Linked DNA regions of Diceros bicornis minor. The protein of the gene in region 2 interacts with the protein of the main gene of each other region in a biochemical or structural test. Links are inferred from orthologs where the notes say so. Each region holds a gene or a part of one and is shown on either strand. Other genes may lie near its edges. The genes, in order: GNA12 and ARAF.

What was found.
Region 1: the proteins of ARAF (region 2) and GNA12 form a complex in vitro, tested with the Homo sapiens proteins (2 studies listed by BioGRID). The link is inferred for Diceros bicornis minor from reciprocal best matches to the Homo sapiens genes ARAF and GNA12.

What each region holds. Positions count from the first base shown.
Region 1 is NC_080765.1:11,705,067-11,721,195, reverse strand, and holds the start of GNA12 (guanine nucleotide-binding protein subunit alpha-12), read right to left. Parts: upstream 6,738-16,129; 5' UTR 6,691-6,737; coding exon 6,379-6,690; intron 1-6,378. UniProt on the Homo sapiens protein: Guanine nucleotide-binding proteins (G proteins) are involved as modulators or transducers in various transmembrane signaling systems. Activates effector molecule RhoA by binding and activating RhoGEFs (ARHGEF12/LARG).
Region 2 is NC_080781.1:41,316,042-41,332,106, reverse strand, and holds the start of ARAF (serine/threonine-protein kinase A-Raf), read right to left. Parts: upstream 7,696-16,065; 5' UTR 7,532-7,695; intron 6,963-7,531; exon of another isoform or gene 6,405-6,962; 5' UTR 6,328-6,404; intron 6,294-6,327; exon of another isoform or gene 6,186-6,293; 5' UTR 6,127-6,185; coding exon 6,031-6,126; intron 5,859-6,030; coding exon 5,755-5,858; intron 5,032-5,754; coding exon 4,929-5,031; intron 4,839-4,928; coding exon 4,684-4,838; intron 4,572-4,683; coding exon 4,473-4,571; intron 2,800-4,472; coding exon of another isoform or gene 2,785-2,799; coding exon 2,643-2,784; intron 2,534-2,642; coding exon 2,294-2,533; intron 2,202-2,293; coding exon 1,999-2,201; intron 272-1,998; coding exon 95-271; intron 1-94. UniProt on the Homo sapiens protein: Involved in the transduction of mitogenic signals from the cell membrane to the nucleus. May also regulate the TOR signaling cascade. Phosphorylates PFKFB2.

The DNA.
Region 1 (16,129 bases), on a different chromosome or scaffold from region 2:
TGGTGCAATAATACGCTGTCTATAAGAAATTCAAGACAACAATGTGGGTAGGTTAAAAGGATGGAAAACATATCATGAAAGCATTCATAAAAAAAGGAGTAGCTATATTACAATATCTGATAAAGTTGACTTCAGAGCAAAGAAAAACACTAGAGACAAAGAAGGACAACATGTAATGAGAAAAGGATCAATCCACTAGGAAAATGGAATAATCCTAAATGTTTACACACCACACAACGGAGTCAAAATACACAGAGCAAAAACTGATAGAGCTAAAGGAGAAATAGATAAACCCATAGTTACAGTTGGAGACTTCAATACCTCACCCTCAGCAACTGAGGCAACTACTAAACAGAAAATCAGCAAAGATACAGAACTCAACACCACGATCAACCAACAGGATCTAAATGACATATGTAGAAAACTCCAAACAACAGAATATACATTTTTTTTTCAAGTGGCCATGGAACATTCACCAACACAGGCGCACAGAACATATACCAAGATAGACCATATTCTGGGCCATAAAACAAACCTCAACAAATTTAAGAGAGTTAAAATCATACAAAGTATGTTCCCTGACCATAATGGAGTCATAGAAATCAATAACAGAGAGATAACAGGAAAATCTCTAAACTCTTGAAAACTACAACACACTTCTAAATAATCCATAGATCAAAGAACATATCTCAAAAGAAATCAAAATATGTGGACACAGCTAAAGCAGTGCTGAGGGGGAAATTTACAGCACTTAAAATGCTTACATTAGAAAGAGGAAAGGTCTCAAATACATAATCTAAGTCTCTACCTCAAGAAACTAGAGAAAAAAGGCAAAATAAACCCAAAGCAACTAGAAGAAAAGAAATAATAAGAGCAGAAATAAATAAAATTAAAAACAGGAAAACCATAAAGAAAAATGAATGACATAAAAAGTTGGTTCTGGGGCCAGCCCGGTGGCGCAGCGGTTAAGTGTGTGTGCTCTGCTGTGGCGGCCCGGGGTTCGCAGGTTTAGATCCCGGGCGCACACCGACCTGCCGCTTGTCGAGCCATGCTGTGGCGGCGTCCCATATAAAGTGGGAGAAGATGGTCACACATGTTAGCCCAGAGCCAATCTTCCTCAGCAAAAAGGAGGAGGATTGGCATCAGATGTTAGCTCAGGCTGGTCTTCCTCACTAAAAAAAAAAAAAAAAAAGCTGATTCTTCAGGGAAAAAAAATAATCAATAAAAGTGATAAATCTCTAGGAAGACTGACAAAAGCAAAAAGAGAAGACACAAATCACCAATATCAGAAAAGAAACAGAAGATATAACTACTCTCACCACTCTTACTCAACATAATATTGGAAGCTCTAGCCACTGCAATAAGGCAAGAAAAAGAAATAAAAGGCATATCTATTGGGAAAGAAGAAATAAAACTGCCCCTATGTGCAGATAACATGATGATCCATGTAGAAAATCCCAAGGAATCTACAGGAAAACTCTTAGACCATGTTTTCAGCAGGGTCACAGGACATAGGATCAAGATACAAAAATCAATCACATTGTTGTGTACTAACAACATGCATGTGGAAACTGAAAATAAAAGCATAGTATCATTTACAATTACTCTAAAGAAAATGAGATACTTAAGTATAAACTTAATGAATCAGGTATAGGATCTGTATGCTAATAATTGCAAAATGCTGATGAAAGAAATCAAAGATGACCTAAATAAACAAGGACATACCATAGTCATGGATTGGAAGACTCAACAAAGTAGAGATGTCAGTTCTCCCCAAATTGATCTATAGGTTTAATACAATTGCTATCAAAATCCCAGCAAGGTTTTTTATAGACATAGACTTATTCTAAAATTTATATGGAAAAGCCAAGGCCATAGAATAGCTAAAACAATCTTGAAAAAGAAAAATGAAATGGGACAAATCACTCTGATATCAAATCACTCTGATATATAGCTACAGTAATGACCACAGCGTGATACCAGCAGAAGGAGAGACACAGATCAGTAGAATAGAATAGAAAACCCAGAAATAGACCCATATCCCCATTTGATTTTTGACAAAGGTGCAAAAGCAATTCAACGGAAGGATAGTCTTTTCAACAGACAGTCCTGGAAAACCTGAACATCCATAGAAAAAAAAGAAGAAAAGAACCTTAACCTAAACCTCACACCTTATACAAAAATTAACTCAAAATGGATGAGGGTCTTAAATGTAAAATATACAACTGTAAAACTTTTAGAAAAATAAATAAGAGAAGCCTTTGGGATCTAGGGTTGGGTAAAGAGTTCTTAGACTTGATACAAAAAGCATGACACATAAAGGCAAAAAGTGATAAACTGGACCTCATCAAAATTAAAAACTACTGCTCTGTGAAAGACCTTGTTAAGAGGATGAAAAGGTAAGCAAGCTATAAACCGGGAGAAAATGTTTGCAAACCATCTATTTGACAAAGGACTAGTATCTAGAATATATAAAGAACTTGCAAAACTCAATAAAGAAATAAGCAACCTGAGGCCAGCCCAGTGGCGTAGTGGTTAAGTGCACGTGGCGGCCCGGGGTTCACAGGTTTGGATCCCGGGTACGCACCAACGCACCGCCTGTGAAGCCATGCTGTGGCGGCGTCCCATATAAAAGTAGAGGAAGATGGGCACAGATGTTAGCTCAGGGCCAATCTTCCTCAGCAAAAAGAGGAGGATTGGCATTGGATGTTAGCTCAGGGCTGATTTTCCTCACAAAAAACAAACAAAAAAAAGAAATAAGCAACCTAATTAGAAAACGGGTAAAAACACGAAGAGACACTTCAATGAAGAGGATGTACAGATGGCAAGTGGGCTCATGAAAAGATGTTCAACATCATTAGCTACTAGGGAAATGCAAATTAAAACAGCAATGAGACAGCACTTACACACCTATCAGAATGGTTGAAATAAAAAATAGCTGACACAACCAAACGCTGGTGAGGATGCAGAGAAACTGGATCACTCATACCCTGCTGGTGGGAATGTAAAATGGTACAACCACTTTGGAGACAGTTTGGCAGTTTCCTATAAAACTAAACATGCAACTATCATACAACTGAGCAACTGCACTCTTGGGCATTTATCCCAGATACATGAAAATGTATGTACACACAAAAACATGTATGTCAATGTTCATAGAAGATTTAACTCATAATAGGCAGAAACTGGAAACAACCCAGGCATTCCTCAACAGGTGAATGGTTAAATGGTGCACTGTGGTAGATCCATACCATGGATACTACTCAGCAATCAAAAGCCATGAACTATTGATTACTGACACATGCAACAGCTGGGGTGAATCTCCAGGGAATTATGCTGAGCGATACAAGCCAATTCCAAGAGGTCACATTTTGCATGATTCCACTTACATAATATTCTTGAAACGACAAAATTATAGAATTGGAGGATAGATCAGTCATTGACAGGTCAGCGAGGGGGAGAAGGGAGGAAGTGACTATAAAAGACAACATGAGGGATGCTTATGGTGATGGGAATGTTCTGTATCTTGATTTTCTCAATGTCAATATTTGGTTGTGATACTATACTACGGTTTTGCAAGATCTTACCATGGAGGAAAACTGGGTAGAGGGGACACAAGATCTCTGTATTATTTCTTACAACTGCATGGGACGCTACAATTACCCAGAAATTAAAAGTTTAATTAAAAGAAAAAAGACCATGTTTGGTTCCCAGCTCTGAGACCTGCTAATTAGGTAACTGACCTTGAGCAGATTTTAAACTCTCTTATCTCCAGCCGGCCCGGTGGCGCAAGCGGTTAAGTGCGCGCGCTCTGCTTCGGTGGCCCGGGGTTTGCAGGTTCGGATCCTAGGCGCGCACCGACGCACCGCTTGGTAGGCCATGCTGTGATGGCGTCCCATATAAAGTGGAGGAAGATGGGCATGGATGTTAGCTCAGGGCCACTCTTTCTCAAGAAAAAAGGGGAGGATTGGCATCGGATGTTAGCTCGGGGCTAGTCCTCCACACAAAAAATAAATAAAAAAACTCTCTATCTCCAATTTCCTCATTGGCTAAATGGGATAATACCATCCGATGCCTTATGAAAATTAAATGCCATATATGAAAGGCCCTGGCAATGTGCGTATTTAAAAATAGCCTGTTAACACTAAATCTATTTGTAGACACAATTATTATTCTAAACAGTATCATCCAAATGCCCACTACTAAAGCCACTACAAAGCACCTTATTAAAAAGTTTCTTCCCAAAGTGATCTGTCCAAATAAAAATTGGGGGGGGGGGGATTTTGGTTTTAGACTGAAAACTGAAATTCTAATTAGTTACTGAAATAGTCCCAACAGATAAAGTGAGTTTAATATGGAATTACAATTAGTAAAAAAGTTGGGAAGGAAAGTAGGATACCAGTTAACAAACCCTGTTTCTGTTGATAAGGAAGTCAGTAAAAGTTAATGTTTATATGCATTGGGAAAAGGTTAAGACTGAGTTTTCCAAAACGCACTTAATACACTGATTTAGATTTAAGATTCTATGTTTCTAAACATTTTCTCTGCCTCCCGAGTTGAAAAAAACTGGGAGATAGTCAGCCAAATCTTTATACTCTACCTGCCTGGTTTGGAGGTCCAAAAAGCAGCAAAAATAAAATCTGGCTCTGTGACAGAGAGAGACAATCGAATGCACTTTACCCCAGAAGATGAGGGGAATTTTAAACACACAGTCCATCCCCCGGAACACACTGGGCACCCAGCCTTTAAAGTTTATGAAGTACTGGGCCAGAGCTCTGACTCACAGAGAGGCTTTTGAAAGAGGTGAAAAGGGTGTTTTATCATTCAAATTATTCTCTTCCCGTCAGGATCCTAAAAGAGCTATTTCTCTTAAAATGAAACATTCTAGTAACAAACACATAACGAACTGGGGGTACTAGTGCAAGATTCCTGATGCAATCCTGGAAGAAGGCAGGCCTGCAAGTCTAGAGGCCAGGGTTCCAGCATCCAGGCCCCAGCGAGGAGCCACTTCATCTCCAGGGCCCGGAGCTTCCTCATGGCTGAAGGGAAAGAAATGTACCAGATGGGTTTCTGCAGCCCTTTGCTAAATTGAAAGTCCCTCAGGCACCATAAAATCTAGTCTCCAGGCAGCTTTCTGGTATGACAAGCTTCCTTCTACCTCTGCTTAAAGACAACTTTCCTCATACCTGTAATTTGGCTGCCCCAAAATGGGCCTGGGAAAGAGTAAGTGAGGGGACAAGAAAAGTGTAGAGGTAAACTCAAAAAAAAAAAAAAAAAAAGAAAGAAAGAAAGGAAATGACCCTATTTAGGTGCCCGATAGACTCTACTTTCCCCTCACCATCACTTTTCTCCAGATTTCCTTTCTTTGGGGCCCTTTAGCACAGGCTCTCTGTAGAGAGAGACTAGAACCCAGACTTTGTCAGCTCTATGGTTTTTTCCACAAATAAATTGCAAAGAATAAGGGAACAAGAGATAGGAGAACCTGGAGATAACACACCATTTAAGAGAGACATTAAAAATTGCAATGTAAGGATTTAATTTATATCTTGATGGAAACAAACAAAACATTTATGCAACAAAAGAGGAAATCTAAACACTGGCAGGATATTTGAGGATATTAAGGAGTTATTGTTAATTCTTAAGGCTGGATACTGATAAGGGTACTGTGGCTATGTTTTTTAAATGAGGCCTTATCTTTTGGCGATACATATACTAAAGTATTTTCTAATGAAGTTATACAATGCCTGGGATTTGCTTCAAAATCACGGGGGCAGGGATACAGGGGAAACAAGACTGGCCCTGAACTAATCATTGCCGAAGTTGGCGGGACAAGGGCCATGGGTACACATAGTTCGTTTTATTCTACTTTGTATCTGTTCGAAATTTTCAACAACAGTGTAAAAGGAGAGACTTGCGGCCGGTTTCCTCTGCAGTTTACACTGCTCTTCTGCACTCACTGGAAAGGCAGGACAAGGATGGCTCCCTGACCCCAGAAGACTGGCAGTGGGAAACGCGCAGATGCCATCCTGCCAGGCCGCGTCCTCGACCCAGAGTCCAGGAGGGGCCCTCCTCACTACCAAGACCCGCCCCACCCCCGCCCCCGGCAAATCCCCAGTTGTCGCCCAGCTTTTCCGCCTCCACCGCCCCCGAGTTCCCGAGAAGAGCACAGGCGAAGGCCATCAGGCCGACGGGGAGAAGGGGTGCGCATCCCTGGCCAGCCCCCCAAGGCTGGGAGCACCTGGCCACTGGGAGCTGCAGCCAGGTCAGGGGGCAGACGAAGGGGGGGCCGCGGTCCCGGCCGGGGCGCGGTGGTCCGCGGGGCCGCCCCTGCGCGCACCTGGGCGCAGGTGTGCGGGTGGGGCGGCGGGGCGCGCGCACCTTGAGGATGTTGTCGAAGATGGTGTCGCGGAACTCGAGCAGCGCCTTCTGGTCGAACTCGCGGCCGTGGATGATGCGCATCTGCTTGAGGAAGGTGGACTTGCCGCTCTCGCCCGCACCCAGCAGCAGGATCTTGACCAGGCGCCGCACGGCGCGCCGCTCGCGGGCCAGCCCCGCGTCGATGTCCCGGCTGCGCCGCCGCGCCTCGCGCTCCGCGTCGCGGGCCCCGCCGCCGCCCGCCCGGCGCTCGCGGGCCCCGCCGGCCTCGGCCGGCAGCAGGCAGCGGCTGAGGGTCCGCACCACGCCGGACATGGCCGCTCAGGCCATGGACCCCGCCGCGGGCGAGGCGAGCCCCGCGCGGCTCCGGCCGCTCCCTCAGGCCGCGTCCGCCGCCGCCGCCCCGAGGCCCACTCTCGCCCGCCGCTCAGCCCCGGCGGAGGGGCGGGGCGGCACCACCCGAGGCCCGGCAATTGGGCCGGCTGCCGTCCATCCGGACGAACGGGCCCTCCGATTGGGCCGTGCCACGCCGAGGGGCGGGCATCCTTCCGGCCCTCGGGGCGGGGTCGGCGCCGAAAGAGGCGGGATCTTTGGGGTGGAGACGCTTCTCATTGGACGCCCGTGCCGAGGTTCTTTCTTGCAGAATGAAAGGGAGGCGGGGTCGTCGGAGAGGCCGGGCGGCCGTCCGCCATAACCAACTATAATTGCTCCGAGAGCACGTCAATCACAGTGCACAGGCTTGGGATTGGGAGTTTCGCGAATCGGGGCGGGACCAGAAGTGCCAGGTGTACAGAAAGAGGCGCCCTGGGCTCCCAGATGGGTCAAGCTGTGAGAGCAGGAGGTTCGCAGAGTGGACTTCACGTTCTCTGAAAACTGGGAAATGCTGATAAGAGGTCCCGCTGCGCGTCTTAAGCTTAGAGAGAAAGCTGTTCCCAAACCATTTTCCTTCCAGAAACGCTGGGGGGAATGGGCCACACGTTTCAAATAAATGCACCCTTTGAGACTGGCGTGGGCCCTTCGGTAGCTTTTCTCAAAGCTTTTCTGAGATCTAAAGATTTTAATCATCAAAATCACCAGAAGCCCCTCGGAAAAATCTTATGTAGCACAGTGATTGGGAGTGGGGTCTGGAGTTGCTGGGTCTGAGTTGGAATAGCCAATCGACCCCTTACCAGTTGCATAAACTTTTTTTTTAAACAGTTTTATTTATTTATTTATTTTGTGAGGAAGATCAGCCCTGAGCTAACATCCATGCTAATCCTCCTCTTTTTGCTGGGGAAGACCGGCTCTGAGCTAACATCTATTGCCAATCCTCCTCATTTTTTTTTTCCCCAAAGCCCCAGTAGATAATTGTACGTCACAGTTGCACATTCTTCTAGTTGCTGTATGTGGGACGTGGCCTCAGCATGGCCGGAGAAGCGGTGCCGCGGTGCGCGCCAGGGATCTGAACCCAGGCCGCCAGTAGCGGAGCACGCACACTTAACCGCTAAGTTAAGTGTAGCCGGCCCAGTTGCATAAACTTTTAAGTAGCTTTTCTTTCTTTCTTTCTTTTATTTTTCCCTCCTGTTTTTAGCTTCAATTTCCTCCTCTGTAAAATGGGGGTGATAATAGCAACCACCTCATATTGTTGTGAAGATAGAAACTGAGAACATGAACTTGTAAAACACAGCACAGTGCCTAGGCCCCAGTCAGTTCTTGCTAAGTGTCAGCTGACTTATCAGATTCTTACCTGTCCCAGATCGAGTGTGAGTCAGAACCTCCTGAAAGGAGCTCCGGTATCTCTTCATCCCCAGGTAATTGGCCAGATTTAGGAACTAGGGTCTGTTAAAAGAGAAACCCAAGCGTATTAAAAATTTTAAGTTTATTTAAGAGCAAAAATCTATTCAAACCTGATGGCACAAAACCAGAAGTGGTTAGAGCACTCGACGGAGGGGAGCCAGAGAAAAGACTTATATAGAGAAAGCATGGAAACAAAGAAGGAAATCATTGATGGGTACAGCTTAAAGGCTAGCTGGCTGTTTGTAGTTGGTTGTCTTTAGCGTTTTGATTTTGTAACCTTGAGGCATTTACAGGATTAGATTTTGGTTTGCTTACATAGGCTGCCACGGCATTAGAGCCTCCTCAGTCTAATACCCTCCTTATTTAATTAATTAAACAGGGCTTAAAGATCATCCTGTCCAAATCCTCCTTCTCACCAGGTGGATAAAATCAAGACCAGCGTACAAATGACTGACTGACCTGAGGTCCCACACAAGAGCCGACTAGAACCCTGCTCTCTTTCACTACGTGACCCTGCCTCTACAGAGGGTATGCACAATAGAAAAAAATGATTAGTCAGTGTGATATCATTCGGTTCTACAAGTAATTTTTGCATAATCATGAAAATGCCAAGCACTGGGGACTTCTGGAGAGGAAGCTGAAGATGGAAAAGACGCAGCCGTTGCGTCAAGAAACGTACACATTAGTTAGGGAGCCAGACCATTCAAGTCACCAGGTAGGGTGCAGACCAAAAGAATCCCTAGTTTTCTGCCATAGAACCGTGGTATTCAAGGAGTTCACTGAGAGATCTAAACTCTCAGAGGACCTTGAATGCCCTTGATATGTGGCATTTGTCGTTTACTGAGGCATAAATTTTTATCACTTAAGGAGTCAACTCATTAGTACTCTGTAATCCTTCAAAAACGATGAAAAAGAAAGTCTTGTTTCTTTGTGAAAACGGCCTTCCACAGAAAGCCAAACACTAGTATTATAATAGAAGTGAAGAACAAGTGGAGAGGCCTCAGAAAACAACGTTTCTTAGACAGAAAATAGGAATTTTTGACAAATAAAGAGAGGAATGTGGAATTTAGCAGTGGACCAGAGTGAGCCCCTCATTCAGTTAAAAGAAATTAAGAGAAGGTGATTCACAAAACACTTTGAGCAAATGCTTCAGACATTTACAAATAACTTTGTATCTTTGTAAATAGATTTATGCCTATGTTTATGCAATCTTTATACGGTATCCAATTTGGGGATCTGACAAGGTCTCTGGACATATCCTTCACATCTGTCAAAGGGCTAAGGTGCTTGAAATAAACAAGCTTATCTGTGTACTCAGTAATCATCTCTCCATTATCCCTCACCTTTGTATGGCGTGTTTTAGTTTTTAAAGTGCTTCCACACACATGATCTCATTTGTGCTGTTCTACACTGCTGGGAAGGAGGCGAGGCAGAGACTATGGTAATAGAAGAATCTGGCTCCCAGGGAGCTAATGTCACTTGTCGGGGGAAGTAGGGTTGGTAAGTTGCAGAAGCTGGACTGGAAACCTGACCCAGTGTATGCTCCATGCACAGTGTGAGATGGGTGAAGGCGTGAGAGCTCTGAGGCTTCGTGCCACCTCCTGTTAGCTGTGTGACTTAAATAAGTCACCTAACCTCTCTGAGACTTAGTTTCTTTATTTGTAAAACCAGGATAAAATAGGGCTGTGATAAGTGTTAAGTAAGTTAACACATACAAGGCCCTAGCACATAATGGGCAGTCAATAATTTCTAACATTATTATTATCATCATCATGGAGCTTTGGGAATCAGGTACTGCAAATTTAGAATTTTAGAATAATAGTAATGGCATGAAGATGAAGAATCTATAAGAATCTACCTATAGATTCTTCTAACAATCTATAATCTATAATATTAATACAGTGTTTGATATTAAAAATAAAAACCTGGGAAAAGGTCAGGTTAAATAAATTAAGGTACAGCCATATAAATGCAATAACATAAAGTTCCTAAAAAGAATAAGGAAGACCAAAATTTGTAAACAGATGGCCACCATGTGTTTAAAAATTGCTGGAGGGGTGGGGGGGTATGTGGCCTGAATGCTCCTCTCAACTCCTGTTCAATTCCACCTCCTGAGCTAAGGGACAGCCAGGAGGGAGGGTCCGATGGCAAGGCCTGGAATGTATATGTGGAATAGCGAGCTCTTCTGGAATCCTAGAAAAGGGGACAGTCACAGGACACTTTCATTCTCCTGCTGGGTGGGAGTGAGGGGACCAGCAGCTCAGAGGCCTGGGAAAAGGCCCAGGACTCTGGGGTTCCCAAAAGGAATAGGGTCTCCTTGGGTCTCATGGATGTAGTCTCCTGTGAGGTCCTTATAGGGCTTCTCTAGTCTGGGGAGAATGTGGGAGAGCTGCACGGGCCCGGGGGCTGGGAGATTCCCCCCCCCCCCCCCCCCCCGAGAATAGGAGCTTCCAGCATCACAGCTGTGGAGACCTGGGAGCTTCCTCTTGGTGCTCATTAGAGGAGCAACATCTTGCCTGTGACCTTATCTTTCATCATTGCAAAAGAAACCGTACAAGCTTTCCCTGAAAGCCACAGAGCTCTGAGAAGGAAAGAGAAAATTTAAATAGACTTAAGGGGACCCATGTGCCAGAGAGAAGATAAAGCAGAACGTCTCAACTAGTGGTAAATAGATGAAAACTTTACATCATCATCACCACCAGCACCACCATCACCACCATCACCATCATCATCATCCCACCTTAGGAGAATGTTCATGGCATAAAAAGACATAGAACGACAACAACAAATGATGATTTTAAAAAAATTTTTAATAGAAGAGAAAATGGTAACCACTGAGTACTATTGAGAACAACGTGAGAAAACTGGAAGATAAAATGAAAGAAATATCTCAAAACCCAGAGGAAAAGTATAAAGAGATGGAAATCACGAGAGAAGGGATAGGAGACTTACATGTGAATGATAAGAGTTCCAGAAGGAGGGGGAAAGAGATGGAGGAGAGGAAATATTTAAAAGAAATAATAATGAGACTTCTTTTTCTGAAAGTATAGTAGACCAAATTCTCAGATTAACCCTCCTGCAGCAACAATTAAAAATGCTGTGTAAACTATTCAAAGCATTTTTTTTTTTCAAGAGTCACTGAGCTGAGTAAGAAAGCCCCAGGGGCCAAAATCACAGTGGAAGCAGAAATTCAAAGAGTTAAGCTGATTCATGGTGAAGCCTCCAGCTGCCCTGAGGACATCTGCTGAACCCTTGTAAACTCCGCCTTCTATTTTCCTGGCTGCAGGTGAGAGACCGGAGAGAAAACCTAAAGATCATCAAAGGTGGGGAGTCTGACAGGAGACAACTGCATAAACCCAGGACCGCAACAGACTGTACATCAGCGGAAGAGTGAACCAGTAAAATCAATCGTATGGATATCAAACATTTATCAACAGATTCAGTTCCAAGGAGTGTACATTGAAACAAAATCACTAAACACACGGGAAAATCAGGCATCATGACTGAAAGTCAGCCCAGACTAAGGACAGCAGAATCACACTCAGAAGGATTTGAGATATTGGAGTTATCAAATACAGATCATAGGATAAATATATTTAATATCTCTAAAGAAATTAAAGAATGTATTGAAAGTATAAGTAAGGAATAAGAGAATATAAAAAATGCCTGGGGAGAAGTGAAAAAAGAACCAAATAGTACATCTAAAAATGAAAAATATAATAATTGAAATGGAAACTTAATAGATATGCTAAGTTACAGATTAAGACACAGATGAAGAAAATAACTTGGAATGTAGATCTGAAAAAATTACCCTGAATCCAACACAAAGATATGAAGGATGGGAGGCAGGAAAAATAGAGGAAGGATATGGAACATATGTCTAACCAGAGTTCCAGAATGGGATAGAAAGAGTGAGGAAGAGGCAATATTTGAAGTGATAATGGCTGAGAATTTTAAACCGACAAATGACATGAAATGTTTAACGTGATGAATAAAAAGAAATCCAAACCAAGATACACCTTAGTGAAACTGAAGGACATCAAAGACAAGGAGAAGATCCTAAAAGCAGCCAGAGGGAACATAATAAAAGCTACCATTTATATAATAGTTACTTGGTGCCAGGCATCATTCTAAGCACTTTGCATATGCTAACTCATGTCATCCTCAAAGGAACCACACAAACTGAGAGCTGATATGTTAATGACAAAAGTGGAAGCCATATAGGAAATAGTATCTTAAAAGCATTGAGAGAAAATAACCGTTAACCTAGAATTGTAAACTCGGTAAAAATATCTTTGGAGAAAATGAGGACATTTCAAACATATAAAAACAGGAAATTATTTTATATTAATAATGTGTGTTATGGGCTGAATTGTGTATCCTCCCTAAAATTCATATGTTGAAGTCATAAGCCCTAGTACCTCAGAATGTGACTGTATTTGGAGATGGGATCTTTAAAGAGGTAATTAAGTTACAATGAGCTCATTGGGATGGGTCTTGATCCAATATGACTGGTGTCCTTATAAGAAAAGGAAATGTGACACAGACGTGTATAGAAGGTAGACCATGTGAAGACATAGGGAAGAAAGGCCATTTACAAGCCAAAGAGAGAGGCCTCAGAAGGAATCAGCCCTGTTGACACCTTGATCTTGGATTTCCAGCCTCCAGAATTATGAGAAAATAAATTTCTGTTGTCTAAGTCCCCCAGCCTGCGGTCCTTTGTTATGGCAGCCCTAGCAATTTAACACAGTGTGCCTCAGGAAGAAGGAAAAATAATCTCAAAAGGAAGGCCTACCATTCAAAAAGGAAAGGTGGACATTTTGTGAACATATAGATGATTCTTTTCATTGACTATATTAAACAACAATAATAATTTTAACTTATAGAGTTGAGAAAAAATAGAACTAAAATACTGGACACTAGAGGCGTATATGTAGGGAGAGGGCAATCATAATTAAAATGTTCTAAGATCTTTGAATTGTTTGAGAAGAGAATAAATATTTTGATTAATGTTAAACTTTGTCAAGTTAAATATTCATGTTAAAATTTTTAGGGTAAACACAAAAAGAAGAGAGATAGGGTCTATAAATTCCACACTAGCAGAGAAGAAAAATGGAATGAGGAAACAAAAATCAATCAACACAAAAGAATGTGAGAGATGAAGAAAAAAGAAACACGAGAATAAAAATAGGACAAAGAGAGCAAAATAAGAAGGTGGAAATAAATCCACATATATGACTCATCAAAATAAATGTAAATAGACTAAAATAGTTAAAAGACAAAGACTGTCAGACTGGATAAAATAAAAACAAGGTCCAGTTACATGCTTATAAAGGACATACCTAATGACCCAGGAAAGATCAAAGTAAAAGAATGGAGAGAGATTTACTGACAGGCAAATACTAACTGAAAGAAGTCTGGCATATTTTTATTAATGGAAACAAAATAGATTTTAAGTCTAAAATCTTTACTAGGATAAAGAGAGTCACTTTATACAGTAAAAGGTTTAATTCACTAGTAAGATATAACAATTCTAAACCTGTATGCAGCTAATAACATAGCCTCGAATATTTAAGGCAAAAAAATTGACAAAACCTCAAGGAGAAACTGAGGAATCCACCATCATTGCTGGGGTGAGGGTGTGGGTTAAACACACCTCTTCTAGTAATTAATAGTTCAAGCATGGGCTGGCCCCATGGCTTAGCAGTTAAGTGAGCGTGCTCCGCTGCTGGTGGCCCGGGTTTGGACCCTGGGGCGCACCGATGCACTGCTTCTCCGGCCATGCTGAGGCTGCGTCCCACATACAGCAACTAGAAGGACGTGCAGCTATGATATACAACTATCTACTGGGGCTTTGGGGGAAAAAATGAATAAATAAAATTATAAAAAAAAAATAGTTCAAGCAGTTGAAAAATACAGTTGTGGTGGTCTATTACATTAGTAGATCTCAAGTCAACCACTTCTCCTGGTATTTATGCCCTTACGCAGCCCCTCCACTTGAATCTGGATTGGACCTGGGACTTGTTTTGACAATGAGAATGTGGCAGAGGTGACATTCTGCCAGTTCCAGGTGTAAGCCTTAAGAAAGCCTGACAGCTTCCGTTTTTGTGCTGTTGGAGGCCTGAGTTGCCATTTAAGAAGTCCAGCTACTCTGCTGGAGAGACCGTCAGAAAAGGTAAAGACCTTGAGATGGCTTAGAAAGGGAGAGGATCCCAGCCAGCCCAGGGTCTCAGCTGAGCCAAGCCCTCAGTCAATACTCAGCTGAATACATAGGAAGGATAGCATAATTTCCCAGCTGAGCCCAGCCCAGTTTCTAGAATCAGGACCGAATAAAACGTTTTAAGCCACTAAGTTTTGGAGTGGCTTGTTATGCACCAATAGATAACTGAAGCAACAATGAACAAGTTGACCTAATAAATGTATATTGAACAGTGAACCCAATAATTTGAGAATACATATTCTGTCCAAATACAAGGAACACTTTCAAAAATGGACCACATAATAGGCCGTAAAGCAAGTTTGAACACATTTTAAAGGATCAATATCGTACAGACCACATTCTCTGATTATGTTGCAGTTAAATTTGATATCTTGAACATAAATATATCTTCTGAAAACTCCAAAGTTATGGAAATCAAAAATAAATCTTCTAAGTAAATTCAGCCCAACTTGTTAAACTTGTTTGCTGCTGCATCATAGGAAAAAAGATGCTAGGGTTATTTGTTACTGCCTCGTCACCTAATTTATCCTTACTGATACAACTTCCATGGGGCATTGTGGTCTAAGAGTTAAGAGCATGGGCGGTGGGGCCATCTGCTGCATCTGAATCCTGGCTCTACCTTCTACTAGTTGTGGAATTAGAGCAAACTACTTCATGTCACTGTGCCTCGCTTTTCCTCATCTGTAAAGGGGGAATAATAATGGTACTACACCGGTACAACGTGGTTGAAATCATTGATTGTTAAATGAGACAACGTATATAAAATCGTAAGAAGAATGACTGGCACAAAGTTGGATTTTAATAAATATTAATTATTATTACTATTATTATCTTCATACTACATACAATAAAGCCGACACTCAGCAATGTAAAGTCTCTTGCCCCAAATCACACACCAAGGAAGTGGCAAAACCAGAATTTGAATCCTGGTCTTTCAACCTCACTTGGCACCCTATGCTCCCTTTACAGCATTGTGCCTCCCTCAGAGCAGCCCCTTCACATGACTAAGAATAGTGTCACTGTGGCTTCCTCTTCCTGCCTCCCCACAAGCCTATCCACCTGGAAGAGTCTGGCAACCCTGGCTCACATTCCCAGGAAAGATTGCTCTTGCCTCAGGGCCTCGGCTCCAGGCTATTCCCTCAGCCCAGAAAACTACTCCGCCCTCAATTATCTCCCAGATTCACCCATTAGAGCTACACTCAAAGGACACTTTCTCAGTAGGCCTTTCCTGACCCCAAACTTCCCCATCACATCCCCCAAATTAGGCTCAGTTCCTATTATATTCTCTCCCAGTGCCTCATACTTTTCATTCCTAGCATTTATCACACTCAAACTTATTTGTGTAATTATATGTTGAATGTCTGTCTCCCCAACTACGTCCATGAGGCAGAGTCTATGGCTATCTGTGTAGGGCTGGAGCCCCTGTTCCTGCACATGGTAGGAACTCAATCATTGTTTGTTGGGTAGATGGGTGGAAGGAAGGAAGGAAGGAAGGGAGGAAGGAAGGAAGGAAGGAAGGAAAGAAGGAGGGAAGGAAGGATAGACAGATGGATGGGTGAGTGGATGGATAGATGGATGGATGAGTGGATGGATGGATGAGTGGATGGATGGATGAATGAGTGGATAGATGGATGGATGAGTGGATAGATGGATGAATGAGTGGGGGAATGGATGGATGGATGAGTAGATGGATGGATGGATGGATGAGTGGCTGGCTGGCTGGCTCGTTGGATGAATGAGTGGATAGATGGATGAATG
Region 2 (16,065 bases):
GGGTGGAAGCAAGTGGCAAATTGGCTGGGGCTATCTCATCACCCCACCCCCAGATTCCCCAGGCCCCTCCCAGTCCCCACACTGGGAGGCTCACTCCATGCCCTGGGCAGTCTGCCGGGCCACGTCGATGAGCTGGACCATGTCGAAGCGGGTGTCGGCTACATGTAGGTGGTGATAGAGGCTGGAGCCCTCGCACCACTGCGTGATGATGGCAAATCCCGGCCGGGTCATGAAGCCCATGAACAGCAAGATGTTGACATGACGCGTCTTCCTGCAGGCAGGGAGGGCGGTATCAGGGCAGGGAGGAAAAATAGCAACTGTCACTCACTTTCTGAGCATCAGGAATGGCACTGTCATCATTTCCACTGTCTTTCAGGAGGCTCAGGGCCAGACTGTGGCCAAATTCAACGAATTTGTGAGACAGTTAGCTGAGCTATGATTCCATGCTGGGGGCTTACGTCCTGAGCTTTTTCCCAAAAGCAGGAGGGAGGGATTACCGCCCCCACCCCTCTACTGACCAGTAGCCTCTTAATCATTAACACTTGCCACACCTCTGACCCTGACCATGACCTGGGCCTGTGATGATTTTACAGATGAGAAAGTGGAATGCCAACCTTCTCCACTGATCTATCAGCATAATATTGATAAAATGCCAGGTAAAAATATCAGTAACATGTGATGATATCCTATTAATCACCACGAGAGGCTTAGAGGTAAAGAGTTTGGAGTTTGGACTCAAATTAGATCCTATGTTCCAATCCAGGCTTCCTAGGTACTCACTGTGCAACCTTGGGAGGACACTTAACCTCTCTGTGCCTCATTTTCCTCAACTGTAAAACTGTGATTATTATATTAGCTACTTTATAGGAATGTTGGGAGGAATAAGTGAGGAAATCATCTGTAAGGTGCTTTGAACAGCACCTAACACACGTAAGCACTGAAAGTTTCCCTACCCTTCTTGTTCTCACTACTGGGGACCTGGGTTTACCTCACAGAAACTGTCACACTGGCCATATGAGTCTGTCTGCCCTCATTTAGAAGAAAACCTTCCTTCCTTACAGAAGTATTAACTACAGTCATAATGGTAACACAAATGCAAACAACATCCACGACGCTCTACAATTCTGCTCATGTCACAGCAGATAACAGAGCGCGTGAGCACTCTTCAGAGCAGTCAGATTATGGTTACAATATTAATATAATGCAAATGAACAGCATGCTCAAGGCATCGCCATTTCACAGAGAAGAACGGAGACTACAAGTTTTCTTACTGTGGCATCCATTATGAGGATAAATATTAAAACAGCACAAGGAATTATGATAACATCAACTCTAAGGTAATTGTGCCCATTTGTCAAAGAGGAAAGCCCAGGCTGGGAACCCCGGCAGCGGAAGTAAGCAGGGCGGCAAGAAGGGAAAGCCAGGGCTTCTCGGCATGCATGAATACAGTATTAATGATATATTAAGTAAAGCCACCACTCATTAAACAATGATTAAATTATGGTTCTGATTATAGTTAATAACACTGTTCTGTAAATTATGGCGTTACCATAACTAGTAACAAGAATGCAACACAATAAACATAACACTGATGTAGTACAAGCAGAGGGGAAGGAAGGACCAAGCCCTCCTGGCGACGCAGTTAACTAACATCATGCTATTCACGTTAAGTACACGAAGTAACGTTAATGAGGTCCTGCGGCCATCCCCATTTCACAGCAGGCAAACGAGAAGACTCATGTTGGCGGCAGAGCCGTTTATTAATATCAATATTAACCCAAACACAAACAATAACATCATCAGAGGTCCTCTAAACCTACCCATTTCCCAGAGGGGAAAAAGGCATCCTTGAGAGAGAGAGAACTTCAATCACGGTTCTAACGCCACACAAACACGGGTGATGCGCGGGAAGCGCCCTGAGCATGGCCCTTCCCCAGAGAGGCGCCGAGGCTGTGCCCGCCGCCCCCACCCCTCACCCCCACACGCGTGCAATCTCACCTGAGCACCTGCATCTCGTTCTTGAAGGCCTGGGCCTGCTCAGCTGTGGGTTGGGCCACCTTGAGCACCTTCACGGCCACATCACCATGCCACCGCCCGCGAAACACGGTGCCAAACGAGCCCGTCCCGATCCTCTTCAGCAGCTGCACCTCACTGGGTGGCACCTCCCAGTAATAGCCTGAGTCCCGGTACCCCAGATTCTTCTGTGGGCCACATGGGGGGCATCTCAGGGGCCTGCCCACATCCCTCATCACTCAGCCTGTGGTGCCCCCCAAAGGTTCCCCCTGGAGCTTACCACTTTCTTCTTGTCATCAGCCAAGGACTTCCGCTCCCGCTGCTCTGATGGGGACTTGGAATGTGGGGACTTCCTCCCCGAGGACACACTGGCCGGGCTGGGGCTCCCCCGGGAGGCTCCATCACCACCACTTCTACTACCAGCAGCTGTGGTTGTGGAGAGGGTGTGAGTGGAAGCAAGCAGGGTGGCGGGCGGGCTCAGGGCGCAGGCAGTGGGGGGCTCACCATCAGTGCTGAAACTCTGGGCAGTGGAAGAAGACGGACGGGAGTCAGAGAGAGGACATGGAGGCCAACAGGAATGGCTCTCCCTTCTGCCCGCTGCTGCCCGGTGACCGCCCCCCGACACCAACCTGGATGAGGCTGGAGTCCATGGGGGCTGTGGTGCTAACCATATGGACGTTGGGGGTGGACGTGGAGCGGATGCGCTGCAGGGGGGCGTTGGCCGAGGCAGGGAAGGGGAAGTGCTCAGGGTCACGGTGCTGGGTGCAGGAGCTGGCAGGGGAAAGGCTGTGAGATCACCGTCGAATGAACAGGAGACCCAATAAAGCCGCCCCCAGCCCCAGCGTAACGGTGTGTTTAGCTCACACAGAGTAAACATCCACTGTCATTACTATTATTCATTTCTTCCAGAAACATTTATTGAGTGCCTGCCGTGAGCCAGATACCATTCTAGGGAGTGGAAATAAAACTGAGAGCGAAACAAATAAAAGTTCTTGCCCTCGTGGGGCTGATGTTCCAGGAGGGAGAGAGAGAAATAAAAAACAAATAGTTAATATGTCCAATAGTGATAGGTGCAATAAAAAAATAAAGCAATGTAAGGAGACAGACAGTGCCCCCGGTGATGTCAGGAAAGGCTTCTCTGAGATGACATGTGAGCAAAGACCTAAAGAAGGGACAGTGAGCCACACAGATAGTGGGGGAAAGAGTAACATATGATATTTCATAACTAAATGTATTATTCAAATATATTATGTATTATATAATATACAGCATATTATCTATATTAAAAAGGCAATGTTTCAAAATATACATATCACAATGTTATATGTTATACATATACGTACATGTTATACATGATACACGTTACATATATTATAATGTTACAAAAATATTTCTTAATGTTCCCTTCACTATCCTGAAATGAAATTCATAAGTAATTAATCCACATACACCCATAATTAAAAATAACACAATACCCTAACTTTACTATTTTCTATACCATAGTCCCCCTTATCCGTGGTTTCACTTTCCCCGGTTTCAGTTTTCCACGGTCAACCGCAGTCCGAAAATATTAAATGGAAAATTCCAGAAATAAACAATTCATAAGTTTTAAACTGTGTGCTGCTCTGAGCAGCGTGTTGAAATCTTGCGCTGTCCTGCTCCATCCCACTCGGGACGTGAATCATCCCTTTGTCCAGCATATCCACACTGTATACCCTACCCACCCGTTAGCCCATTCATTAGGAAAAAACATCGTATCTACAGGGTTCAGTACTATCCGCGGTTTCAGGCATCCACTGGTGGTCTTGGAATGTATCCTCGACAGATAAGGGGGGACTACTGTATTACATAAAAATATATGATGGTCTACATTATATAAAAATATAACACATGATATAATAAGAAACCTACCATATAAATATAGATATTATAAAATATACAATATAGACATATAAAATGTGTATTATATAAACTTATGATGTATTAGAATAATAATATATTTTAACATAGAAATACTATAGTATTATAATGCTTAACATAAAGGAGAAATAAAAGGGAAATTATGATAAAATAACATGTATTTCAAAGTGGAAAGGCTTAAGCATGGTGATACTAGAATAATTAACAAAGCAGTTAGATGCTCATATATATTTATAATTAAGAAGAACTTATTATTCTGCACCAGATCTTTTCTAAGCACTGAACATCTTAACTCTAACCCTCACTAGAACCTATGTGGTAAAAAGTATCATTATCCCCTCTTTATAGATGAAAAAACTAAGGCCCAGAGAGATTAGATGACTTGCCCAAGGTCCCATAGCTCCATGCCCTTACTCACACTTGTAGGTGCTCAATAAATGTTTGTCAAGTAAACGAGTGAATAAACTATGGCTTGTGGTCTACAGAGGCCTCTAGATCTTTTTCTCCTAACAGAGGCCCTTTGGCTAAGGCATCCCTACCTGGGACCCTGAGGGGTTAGCGGCTCATTCAGGGGGCGGTTCGAGGGAGCCTCGTGCTGTCTGGAGCCTCCGGACAAATCCTGGACACTGTGGTGGAACCTTGAGGGCATTAAGGGTGTAGAGCAAGGGGATACGGGTCAGCTGTCTGTAAGAGCCTTGTGGCTGGGCCTTTGTCCTCCCCATACCCCCACCCACCCCAGGCCAGGCTCACTGTCGGCGGTTGGTACTCATGTCGACACAGACTGTGGGGACCTTGGAGGAACAATGCTGGTGGAACTTGTAGCCACAGGTTTGGCAGCGGAAGCCATGGAACAGAAACTTAAGGCAGAAGTCACAGAACGCCAGGCTGAAGAAGGTCTTCCGTACCTGCTGCCACAGAGCGGGGAAGGGTGAGGCCTGGTCAGGGGCCCTCCCCCCAGGCCCACGGTCTGCCCCCACCATGCACCCCGCACTCACAAAATTGTGCATGGTCAGCGGGACGTCTTCGAGGACCTCCACAATGAGCTCCTCGCCATCCAGGGGGGCAATGGCTGTGTCCCAGGCAGTGACTGTCTTTCTCCTGCAGGAGGCATGGAAGGGAGTGAATGGGAGGGTAGACGGGGGCCATGAGGAGGCAAGGAACACCCAAAAGTCCCTCCAAGCCTGCCATCCATGGAGTAATATCTGGCTTGTTTAATTCTCATCACAACAACTCCAGGAACTAGTTGCTATCCTTGCCCCCATCTTCCAGATGGGGAAACTGAGGCTCAGAAGGATAAAGTGACTTGTCCAGGCCACAAGGGATTGTGAGTGGCTGGACAGTGTGAAGAGTCCAGGCTTTAAACCACAAGGCAAGAAGCAAATGAGATAGTGAATAAACAACTAAGAAGAGCCAAGCAAGCCCCTGAAACAGCGACTGATGAGGCATTGAAACAACAAACAAGAAGCAATGTGTGAACCGAATAAAAAAATGAAGGAGCCCCAGGACAGAGGAAGGCATGGAAGGTCAGGAAGACCCAACTCGCCAGACAGAGGATGGGGAAACGGAGGAAGGAGAGAGCTGACAAACTGACGAAATAGGGAAAGAACAAAACAGATGGACTCCAGGAGGAGGTGACAGAGCACAGTGACGACCTGGAGGCCAAGGAGACAAGGTGTGGATCTTACAGGCCAATGAACTAATGAAGTCAGGCGTCACAGATTCACTGAACTCAGGGCAGACTAGTGGCAACTCCAGGACAGAGTGAAGAAGGAGGGGATGGGAGGACGGGCACTCAGCAGGGGGGATGGGGGGTACACTTACCCCTTGATGAGCCGGTAGACCACACAGCAATCCTGGTTGAGACCCCGCACCTTGAGGGCCTTGTCTAGAGAATCGTAGACGCTCATGCCATCCCGGACAGTCACCTGTGGGGGACGTGTGTGTGCAGATGTAGGGGGTCAGTGGCCAACAGAGACCCCAGCCGACTCTCCCATCCCTCTGCAAAAGCCTCCTCCCAGCCCTAGTCACCCTTCTGACCTAAGATTTCCAGCTGGGGCCATCCCCGCCCCACGCCCGTTTTGCTGCCAGCAGACTCACCACTGTGCGTTGCTTGTTGGGCAGGTACACTTTGACAGTGCCCACTGCCCGGGATGGCTCGGCCCCATTGGCAGGGGGGCCCCGTGGTGGATCCATGGAGCCTAGGACTTTGTCAAGACGGGCTGACGTGGGGCTGGGCAGGTGCCATGGGGCTCCTAGAAGACAGAGGAGGAATTCAGAGGTCCAATAATGATAGTCTGGAAGCAAAGACAGGGGACAAAAAAATTCAGTCTCGGGCTCCACGTCATCCCCTGTAGCCTAATTTCCACACAACAGCCCAAAGGATCCTGTTAACGCCTTGAAGTGGATCCAGTTCCTCCTCTGCTCAGCCCCTCCTGTTTGTCTCACTCTTAAGTGCCAAGGTCTCCGGTTCACTGCATGGGACGGAGTGGGGGTGGGGGACAACACAATGAGAGGCAGCAAACACTGTCCTGGAGGGCACAGGAGTCCACAAGTCTCTGTGCTGGGGGCTAACAGGGAAGTCAGCACACACTGCACTGCCACCTGTTAGGTACATAAGGGACATGAAGAGGCTGTCCCGGCTTTTAATGGAGAAGGGGGTTACCAGAAACTGGTGAGGGAGGAGTCACAGACAGGTGATGGGGAATGAATGAGGATCATCAGATATTGGCCTTAGTTTGGGGGAAATGGCAGTTGCACCAAAGAGTGTCCTTAAGGGCACTGTGGGCATCCCCAAGCCCTGGGCTGTAATGATTGTGGGCCCACAAACACGGTGGTAGGTGGCTGATGGGAGTCACCAGACTGTGATGGGGAGTTCACAGAGGCTCAGCAGACACTATGCTAAAAGGAGATGTAACAGGGGTCACTAGGGACTGTACCGGGGAGAAGAGTGGATAATGGGGGTCACCAGACACCGTCATGGGGAAAAGGAAGGTAATGGCGCATCACCAGACACTGCTGAGGTGAGATGAATGGGACTAAAGCAGGCGCGGGGGGCCTCCAAAATTCTCCCTGACAACTAATGAAGGGGCCACAGACATATAACTGGTGATAATGGAAGGAGGCCGGGGAAGATTAAGGAGGAGTAATGGAGAAATCCTCAAACATTCTCCTAGTGGGTCAGACACTGATCCAGAGTAAGGAAAGCGAGTAGTGAGCCGCGTCTCCACGCACTCCCTGCTGTTGGTAAGGAGCAGTCATCAGATACCTTAAGGAGGTTAAAAGGTAATACAGCCACAACACACCACAGCCCAAGCCCCTTTCGGGCCAGCCCCGCCTACCGAGGGCCTTCTAGTTCTGCGCAGGCGCGCTGCCACAAGCGGCGGGCGAAACCATCCCCCGCAGCCTTGCACCCCTATTCCTGTCTACCCCCCCCCGCCGTCGACGATGGTCTCGCCCCGGGTCAAACCACTCCTCCGGTTCCGGGCGGGGGGCGCCGGGGCCCAGGCGCAGCCATCCTGGAGCTGAGCTTTCGGTCCCGGCTCCCTGCCCGTGCCCGGCGGTCGCTCCAAAAACCTAACCCTGCCGGGCCCGCCCTCACCTGTCACGCCGCTACGGCCGTCGCCGCCTCCATCTTGGGCCTGTCTTCTTGTTTCCTCGCAGAGTCCGCCTCCACCGCCCCTCGGGCTTTCGCCATTGGCTCCGTAGGACTCAGCCCTCCATCTTTATTGGATTAGGGTCACGCCTGTCAAGGCAGGACCGGCGGAATGTGGGTCGTGTTCCGGATTAGGAGGGGCTGCCTGAAACGTCATGGTCTGGGGCAAATTCGCACGTCCTGACTCGCGCAGGCGCAGTCGAGAGGAAACCTGTGTGCCATGGGCTTTAACCCCAATCGTGCCATGGCGGAATAAAGCAGGGCTTTTTTCGGTCACTTGAGGCTGACTTTAGGGGTTCCTGAGTCTGGGCGGGAAATTCTTAAGCGCCCTTTGTGCTCTAGTGACCCAGAGCCCTAAGTACCCATTTGGGATTTCCCTGTGTCTCAGTTTTACCATCTTTGAAATGGGTTGGAATAAGCTGAAATATCTGCAATGTTTTTCAGTTTTAAAAGGCTGTAGTCATAGCCTTTGATAACAACAGGTCTCTAGTGTGGCCGGCGCTGGGAGTCTGGCCCTAGGAGGGTCGGCCTGCTCTTCTGAGAGCATTCCTTTGGAATGCAGTTAAGTATTTTGAAAGACTAGTTGTAGATGGCCAGGTGAAGAGGGGAGGGAAGTGTGGATCTGGAATGGGGCACAGTGCAGGGAAACGTGTGGAGCTCTTGTAGGGTAAATACAAATTTTTTTAAAGTTGAATTTTCCCTGGTGTCAAAAGTGAAAGAGACTTTCCACCTTTTCTTTTCTTAGAGCATTTCCTTTTGAGAACTTGTAATTGTAAATTTTTTCTGTCCCTTCGAGATGTATGTAAATCTTTTTAAACGCTAAATAGGCCTCCTGCCAGTTTTACTACCCAGGCATGTTGTTCTTTTTTTTGTGTGTGAGGAAGATCAGCCCTGAGCTAACATCCGTGCTAATCCTCCTCTTTTTGCTGAGGAAGACCGGCTCTGAGCTAACATCTATTGCCAATCCTCCTCCTTTTTTTTCCCCCAAAGCCCCAGTAGATAGTTGTATGTCATAGTTGCACATCCTTCTAGTTGCTGTATGTGGGACGCGGCCTCAGCATGGCCGGAGAAGCAGTGCATCAGTGGGCGCCCGGGATCCGAACCCCGGGCCTCCAGTAGCGGAGCGCGTGCACTTAACTGCTAAGCCATGGGGCTGCCAGGCATGTTGTTCTTAAGGGCCTTGGAGCCATCTCTTTGAAATGTAAACATCAACGGTGATAGAGCACCTATCTCCGTGGGAATTTGACCTAAGCGGCTGGCTCCAAGTTGTTACCTGCTTGTCAAAGAGATAATATGTTTTATGTTTCCTTTAGATAAAGGCAGATGGCTACCCCAATTTCCAGGTGAATTTGATATGAACTATGGTGCTGTCAAGTTTTCTCACTTGACGACAAGTTATCATCTTTCTTGAGAACATGTACGTAATGGGTTGTATTTGTCCGTCTATATAAAAGGATGAGGTTCCTTTCTGTCTTCCCAATCTCTTTAGCGAATTGCTTGTGATGTGCAGTGCAGTCTGGTTTAACGCTTATTCCATAATAAAACTATTTTATTCTTTTCTACCTTTTTTTTTTTGGTGAGGAAGATTGGCCCTGAGCTAACATCTGTTGCCAATCTTACTCTTTTTGCTTGAGGAAGATTGTCGCTAAGCTAACATCTGTGCCAGTCTTCTATTTTGTACATGGGATGCCGCCACAGCATGGCTTGATGAGCAATGTGTAGGTCTGCGCCCGGGATCCAACCCTGCAAACCCCAGGCCACCAAAGCAGAGTGCTCGAACTTAACCACTACACCACTGGGCCAGCCCTCTTTTCTACCTTTGTGGAGAGGGTTCCCTGGGTTGGCATGAGATTTTATTTTTAATTATTTCCCCAACAGTATGAACGGCCTGTTGTGTTTGAAGTGATTACATTCTCCTGTTTGGAGCCTCAGCATCCCTCTGCCATGAAATAAGAAAAATCAGAGAAAGGTCACTAGGCGAGGGGGCCTCAACATGCTTCAGCTTATATTTATTAAATGTGTTCTCTGCCTATAAGGAGAGAGAAAAAAGTTCTGCTTACTGCATATAACCTCCATTTCCCATCACCCCTTTTCTATTCGATCTTTACCTATTCGATCTTTACCTTTCAATGGCTAAAATTAAAAAGACTGACAATCCCACATATTGATGAGAATGTGGAGCAACTGGAACTTTCAGACATTGCTATTGGAAGTGTAAAATGATACAACCACTTTGGAAACAGTTTGGCAGCTTCGTATAAGTTAAACATAGACATACCATGCAATCCAGCAATCTCATTTCTAGGTATTTACTCCAAAGAAGTGAAAATATATGGCCAATGGTGTGCTGGTAAATGTTTAACAACCACCTCTCTAGGAAAAAAAGCGTTTGCCAACTATGGTGTAAATACTCCCATCACGGCTTTCAAACTACTAATATGACATCACTGAAGCAGAGTTGAGAACAGATTTGCAAAATCCACTCTGGTGAGCCCACCACAGCATGCTACTGCAATATGTCCGCACAAAAACTTGTACTCAAATATGAATTAGCTTTATTCATAATAGCAAAAAACTGGAAACAGCTCAGGTGTCCAAGAAGGTAAGAATTGACAAAGAAACAATGGGGTCAATGAAAGGGAACAAACTACTTCATACGTCTATGAATCTCGTAGACATAAGGTTGAGTGAAAGAAGGCAGATACAAAAGAGAAATACTGTATTATTCCATTTGTATTAAATTCTAAGCCAAGCAACACTGATCTATAGAGAAGGAAATCAGACTAGTTGTTGTCTTGAGTAGAATGACTGGGAAGTACATGAAGGAACTTTGGGAGGTGATTGGACTGTTCAGTATGCATTTATCATTGAACTCTATAGTGAAAATGGGTAAATATACCTCAATTAAAGTGCATGGCCAAAAAATGGCTTCAAACATAATTCTAAACATTTTGATTGCCTACAAATTCTTTTTTTCTTCTTCTTTTTTTTTGGTGAGGAAGATTGGGCCTAAGCCAACATCTATGCCCATCTTCCTCTATTTTGTACGTGAGATGCCTCCACAGTGTGGCTTGATGAGCAGTGTAGGTCCGAGCCCAGCATCTAAACCCAGGAAGCCCAGGCCGCTGAAGCAGAGCACACGGAACTTAACCACTATGCCACCAGGCTGCCCGATTGCTTACAAATTCTTATTGGTTAGAGAAAACTTTTTTAAATTCTCTGTTCTGAAATTGAATCCCTGGACCCTACATCCCCATCTCCCAGTGCAGGAGCCCTGGCGGCAACCTCAGTGCCATATGGGGTCAGGAACAACTCCTATCGGAGCTCAGAGAGGGGCTCCAAAATCCTCGCCAGGAGGAAGAATAAGTTCAGGGGCGAGGGGAGTGCATTTTAAATTTCAATTCATTTAAATATTATTTAATTTGTTTAAAAACTTTCATTTCTATGCAAATCAAAACAACACTAAGATATCACCTCATGCCTGTTAGAATGGCTATAATCACCAAGACAAAAAACAACAAATGTTGGAGAGGATGTAGAGAACAGGAAACCTCATACACAGCTGGTGGGAATGCAAACTGGTGCAGCCTCTATGGAAAACAGTATGGAGATTCCTCAAAGAATTAAAAATAGAAATACCCTATGATCCAGCCATCCCACTACTGGGAATCTATCCAACGAACCTGAAATCAACAATCCAAAGAGGCTTATGCACCCCTGTGTTCATTGCAGCATTATTCACTACAGCCAAGACATGGAAGCAACCCAACTGTCCCTCGAATGATGATTGGATCAAGAAGATGTGGCTATATATACCATGGAATACTACTCAGCCATAAAAAAAGACAAAATCGTCCCATTTGCAACAACACGGATGGGCCTGGAGGATATTATGTTAAGTGAAATAAGCCAGACAGAGAAAGACAAACACTGTATGATACCACTCATATGTGGAATATAAACCAACACATGGACAGAGAAAACTGTATTGTGGTTACCAGGGGCAATGGGGGTAGGGGGTGGGCACAAGGGGTGAAGGGAGACATATATATGGTGATGGACAAACAAAAATGTACAACCCAAAATTTCACAATGTTATAAACTATTAAAACATCAATAAAAAAAACTTGAATTTCTAGGCAATATTTGAAAACATTTCTGGCTCCATTGCACGTTTACAAAAAGATGAGCAAAATCCCAGCGTAAACTCATTGCCCACGTGCTGTGCGGGGAGGAGGGACCGAGGGAGGGTGGGAGGCGGGCGCCCACTCAAGCGCAATCCTTTCTCTCCCAAGGACTCATAGACTCGCTCCAAACTCATCCCAACTAGTGCGACTTCAGCCAAGTACCTCACCGTACCGGACAAGCTGTGAGGGCCTTTGAAGTTGAATTGGGTTTTTATCATCATCATCACGTTAAAACCATCAGAAGTACCAATGTATTAAAACAAAAATTAAGCCCGCACTAGCTGATTAAGGTTTTCTGACATACCCCTTGAAATTATTCACCTAGAAATCTTAAAACATTTTTAAGCGGTTGTTGGTTTTTATTATTGTTGATTTTAAATTCTTAGAAACGTATCTAAAAAATATACAAAAATCTTAAGTGTTTGCCAACTGCCGTTGTAATGCTACCCATTTTACAGCTGAGCAAATTGAGGTTTAGGCTGCCGTAACCAGAGGGATGGAGGAGAGAGCTTCAGGAATTCAAGTTTGATAAAAAGTGTTCGAACAAGGGTGCAGGCCAAAGGCACCTCCTTAAGGAATCTTGGATCCACCCCAGCGGTCCTGCGTGCCTGAGGCTCTGCTTTAAAACCTGCCACTCTCATTTCCCAAGGCCACCGCCCTCGCCCGCCCCTGCGGCCGCCTGGAGAACACCGCTTCTGAGACCCCATCGCACTGCCTCCCTCTCCGCTACGCATTTCAGGAGAGACAACCGCGCGTACACATTTCACTAAGGGACAGACGGAGGCTCAGCTGCACGCCCTACAGGCCTGACTCAGCGCCCTCAACTATGGGTCCTGCAAGCCGCCGCAGCGCTCTGCAGGGAGCCACTCTGCGCTCCAGGCCCCCAACAGGCAGCGAGATCAGCCAACGGCAATGCAGTGGAGGGCGGGCTTTGGGATGCCGCGGGCATTGATAGGCTCTGCCTCACCGCGGCGTTTAGGAGTGAGAGGAGAGCGGACTTCCAGACTCCGAAGAGCCACGGATAGACCGAGAACCGCGCACGGGAAGTGGGCTTTGGGCCGTCCCGGCCAACCGGAGGTGGTGCGGGCCTGAGACTTGCTGCAAACCAGCAACTTAATGTTATTTTTAAATTAGTGGCAATGCAACTGTATTTGTTCCATCTAAAGCAGAGTATGGAAGTTTCCACTTCTGAATATATTTCTCGAAGAGATTTTTAATATGCAACCCTGGAGCCAGAAGTGTGGGAAATTTACAAGTGAACCTACACGTTACTTTTAACTTTAATTTTTTTTCCTAAAAAGCCTTTCCTAACAAAATGCATTGAACAGGGGTCGGCCCGGTGGCGCAAGTGGTTAAGTGCGCGCGCTCCACTGCGGTGGCCCGGCGTTCGCTGGTTGGGACCCCAGGTGCGCACCCACGCACCGCTTGTCAAGCCATGCTGTGGCGCGTCCCATATAACGTAGAGGAAGATGGGCACGGATGTTAGCCCAGGACCAGTCTTCCTCAGCAAAAAGAGGAGGATTGGCATCAGATGTTAGCTCAGGGCTGATCTCCTCACACACACACACAAAATTTATAAGGATTAAAGTCATACAAAGTATGTTCTCTGACTCAAATGAAATTGAATTAGAAACCAATAACAGACAAATCCACTATCATAGTTGGAGACTTCAACACCCCTCTCTAAGAAAAGGACAGATCTAGCAGGGAGAAACCAACAGCAGAAAGATCCTTGGGAAACCCTCAAATATTTGGAAATGAAATAACACACTTCTAAATAACTCATGGATCAAAGGAGATATCAAAAGGAAAATTTTAAAAATCTTAAACTAAATGAAAAGGAAAATATATCAGAATCTGTGGGATGCTGCTAATGCAGTATTTGGGAAAATACCTATAATTAGGAAAGAAGAAAGATCTCAAATTGATGGCCTCAGCTTCCACATTGAGCAACTAAAAAAACAGGAGCAAATTCAACTCCAAGTCAGCAGAAGGAAGGAATTAATAAAGATCAAAGCAGAACTCAATGAAACAGAAAAGTGAAAAGCAATAGAGAGAATCAATGAAACCAAAAGCTGGGTTTTAAGGTCAATAAAACTGATAAACCTCTAGCCAGGCTGTTGAGGAAAAAAAGGCTCCACTTACCCAAATCAGGAATGAAAGAGACAGCATGACTGCAGATTCTACGATTAAAAAGGATAATAAAGGAATATTATAAACTACTTTATGGCAATAAATTTGACAACTTGGATGAAATGGGCAAATTCAACCAAGGCTCACTGCAGAAGATAACGTGACTAGCCCTATATCTACTAAATAAATTGACATTGTAGTTTAAAATGTTCCTGCAAAGAAAACTCCAGGCCCAGGTGGTTTTACTGGTGAATCTACCAAACATTAAGGAGGAAATAATAACAATTCTGTACAAACCCTTTCAGAAAATTGGAGAGATGGAAATACCTCCCAATTCATTCTATGAGGCCAGCATTACTCTCATACCAAAATCAGACGAAGAAATTACCAGAAAGGAAAACTACAGACCAATATCCCTCAGTAACATAGATGCAAAAATTCTAAACAAAATTTTGGCAAATCAAATTCCATAATATGTTAAAATGATAACACATTATGACCAAGTGGGGTTTATCTCAGGAATGCAGAATTGGTTTAACATTTGAAAATCAATCAGTGTAATTCACCACAAAGACCACAATAACTAAGAAAGAAAATCATACGATCATCTAAATAGCTGCAGAAAAGCATTTCACAAAATCTGACACTCATTTTGATAATTCCCAGAAAATTAGGATAAAAGGGAACTTTATCAACCTTCTAACAGAAAAAGAAAGGGAAGGGAAGGAAAGGAGCTGACCTTCTCAAGGCCATAGCACTGGCTGAGCTGGGTACCTGCAGGCCACTAGAATTGCTAAAACATCTGTCAACACTGACCCTTTTGGAAATTAGCCTTCATACTGGGTTCTTAGGTATGTTTAATCTCTTGTAACCCTGTCAGTGTCCTTGAGCTTGGATCATACAAGTTCTGCCAAGGGACATAGATCTTTGCCTTGATACTTTAATAATATCACTGGTGATGATTGTGATAAGAAGAATAGCTAATAATTACTGTGCAGTCACTGTGCATCATACACTGTGTAAAGTTTGATATAGATTGGTTCACAGAATCTTACGACAACCCTATGATGGAAGTACTTTAATAAAATATTAAAGATAAGGAAACTGAGACACAGGGAGGGGAAACAATTCATCCAAGGTCACACAGTTACATAGCAGGACATGGGGATATTCACATACTCTAACTAGACAAGTGGTCAAGTCCTAAGGCATTCTGGGTAACTTCAGAATTGATTTTCTTGTACCACATAATGTTATGCAACATTTACATGGGCGGATTCCATGTTATCTCCTTTGTGGACTTATGGGCTATAATCCTTTGTTATTTTAGTGGTTGCTTTAGGCTTTATAGTAAACATATATAACTTATCATAGTCTACCTTCAAGTGACAATATACCACTTCACATATAGCATAAGAACCTTATAATAGTATCCTTCCATTTCTCCCCTCCTTAGATTTATGTTATTGTTGTCATGCATTATACTTTTGCATATGTTATAAACCCTACATACGTTATTTTATTTTTGTTTAAATGGGTAATTAACTTTTAAAGAGATTTAAATAATATTTTAAAGAGATTTAATATATAAAAGCTTGTATATTTACCCACGTAGTTACAATTTCCAGTGCTCTTCATTCCCTTGTGTAAGTCCTGATTTCCATCTGGTATCATTTGCCTTCTGCCTGAAGGACATCCTTTAACATTCCTTGTGGTACAGGTCTGCTGGTGAGGAATTCCTTCAGCCTTTGTATTCTGAAAGCACCTTTATTTCTCCTATTTTTAAAGTTATCTTTTAAATTAAACTTTTCCTTTTGAGATAATTGTAGATTCGCATGCAGTTGTAACTAATATTAGAGACATTTGTATACCCTCTTCCAAATTTCCCCCAATGGTAACATTTTGCCAAGCTATAGTACACTGTCACAACCAGGAGGTCTCCTCAACTCGAGGAGTCCACTGGGCTCCCTTCATTCCCAGCCTTGTGCTGCAGTCTGGCAAGTCTCTCAAGGCAGTAAGCTGGGGCAATCACAGGACTCACCTGCTTTATTTCCTATTTCTCAGGGATCGGTGTCCTTCATTGCCGGATATAGTGTCTTTAAAACCAGTATTCCTTATACAGTGCTCTATGTCAATTATATCTCAGTGAAACTGGAAAAA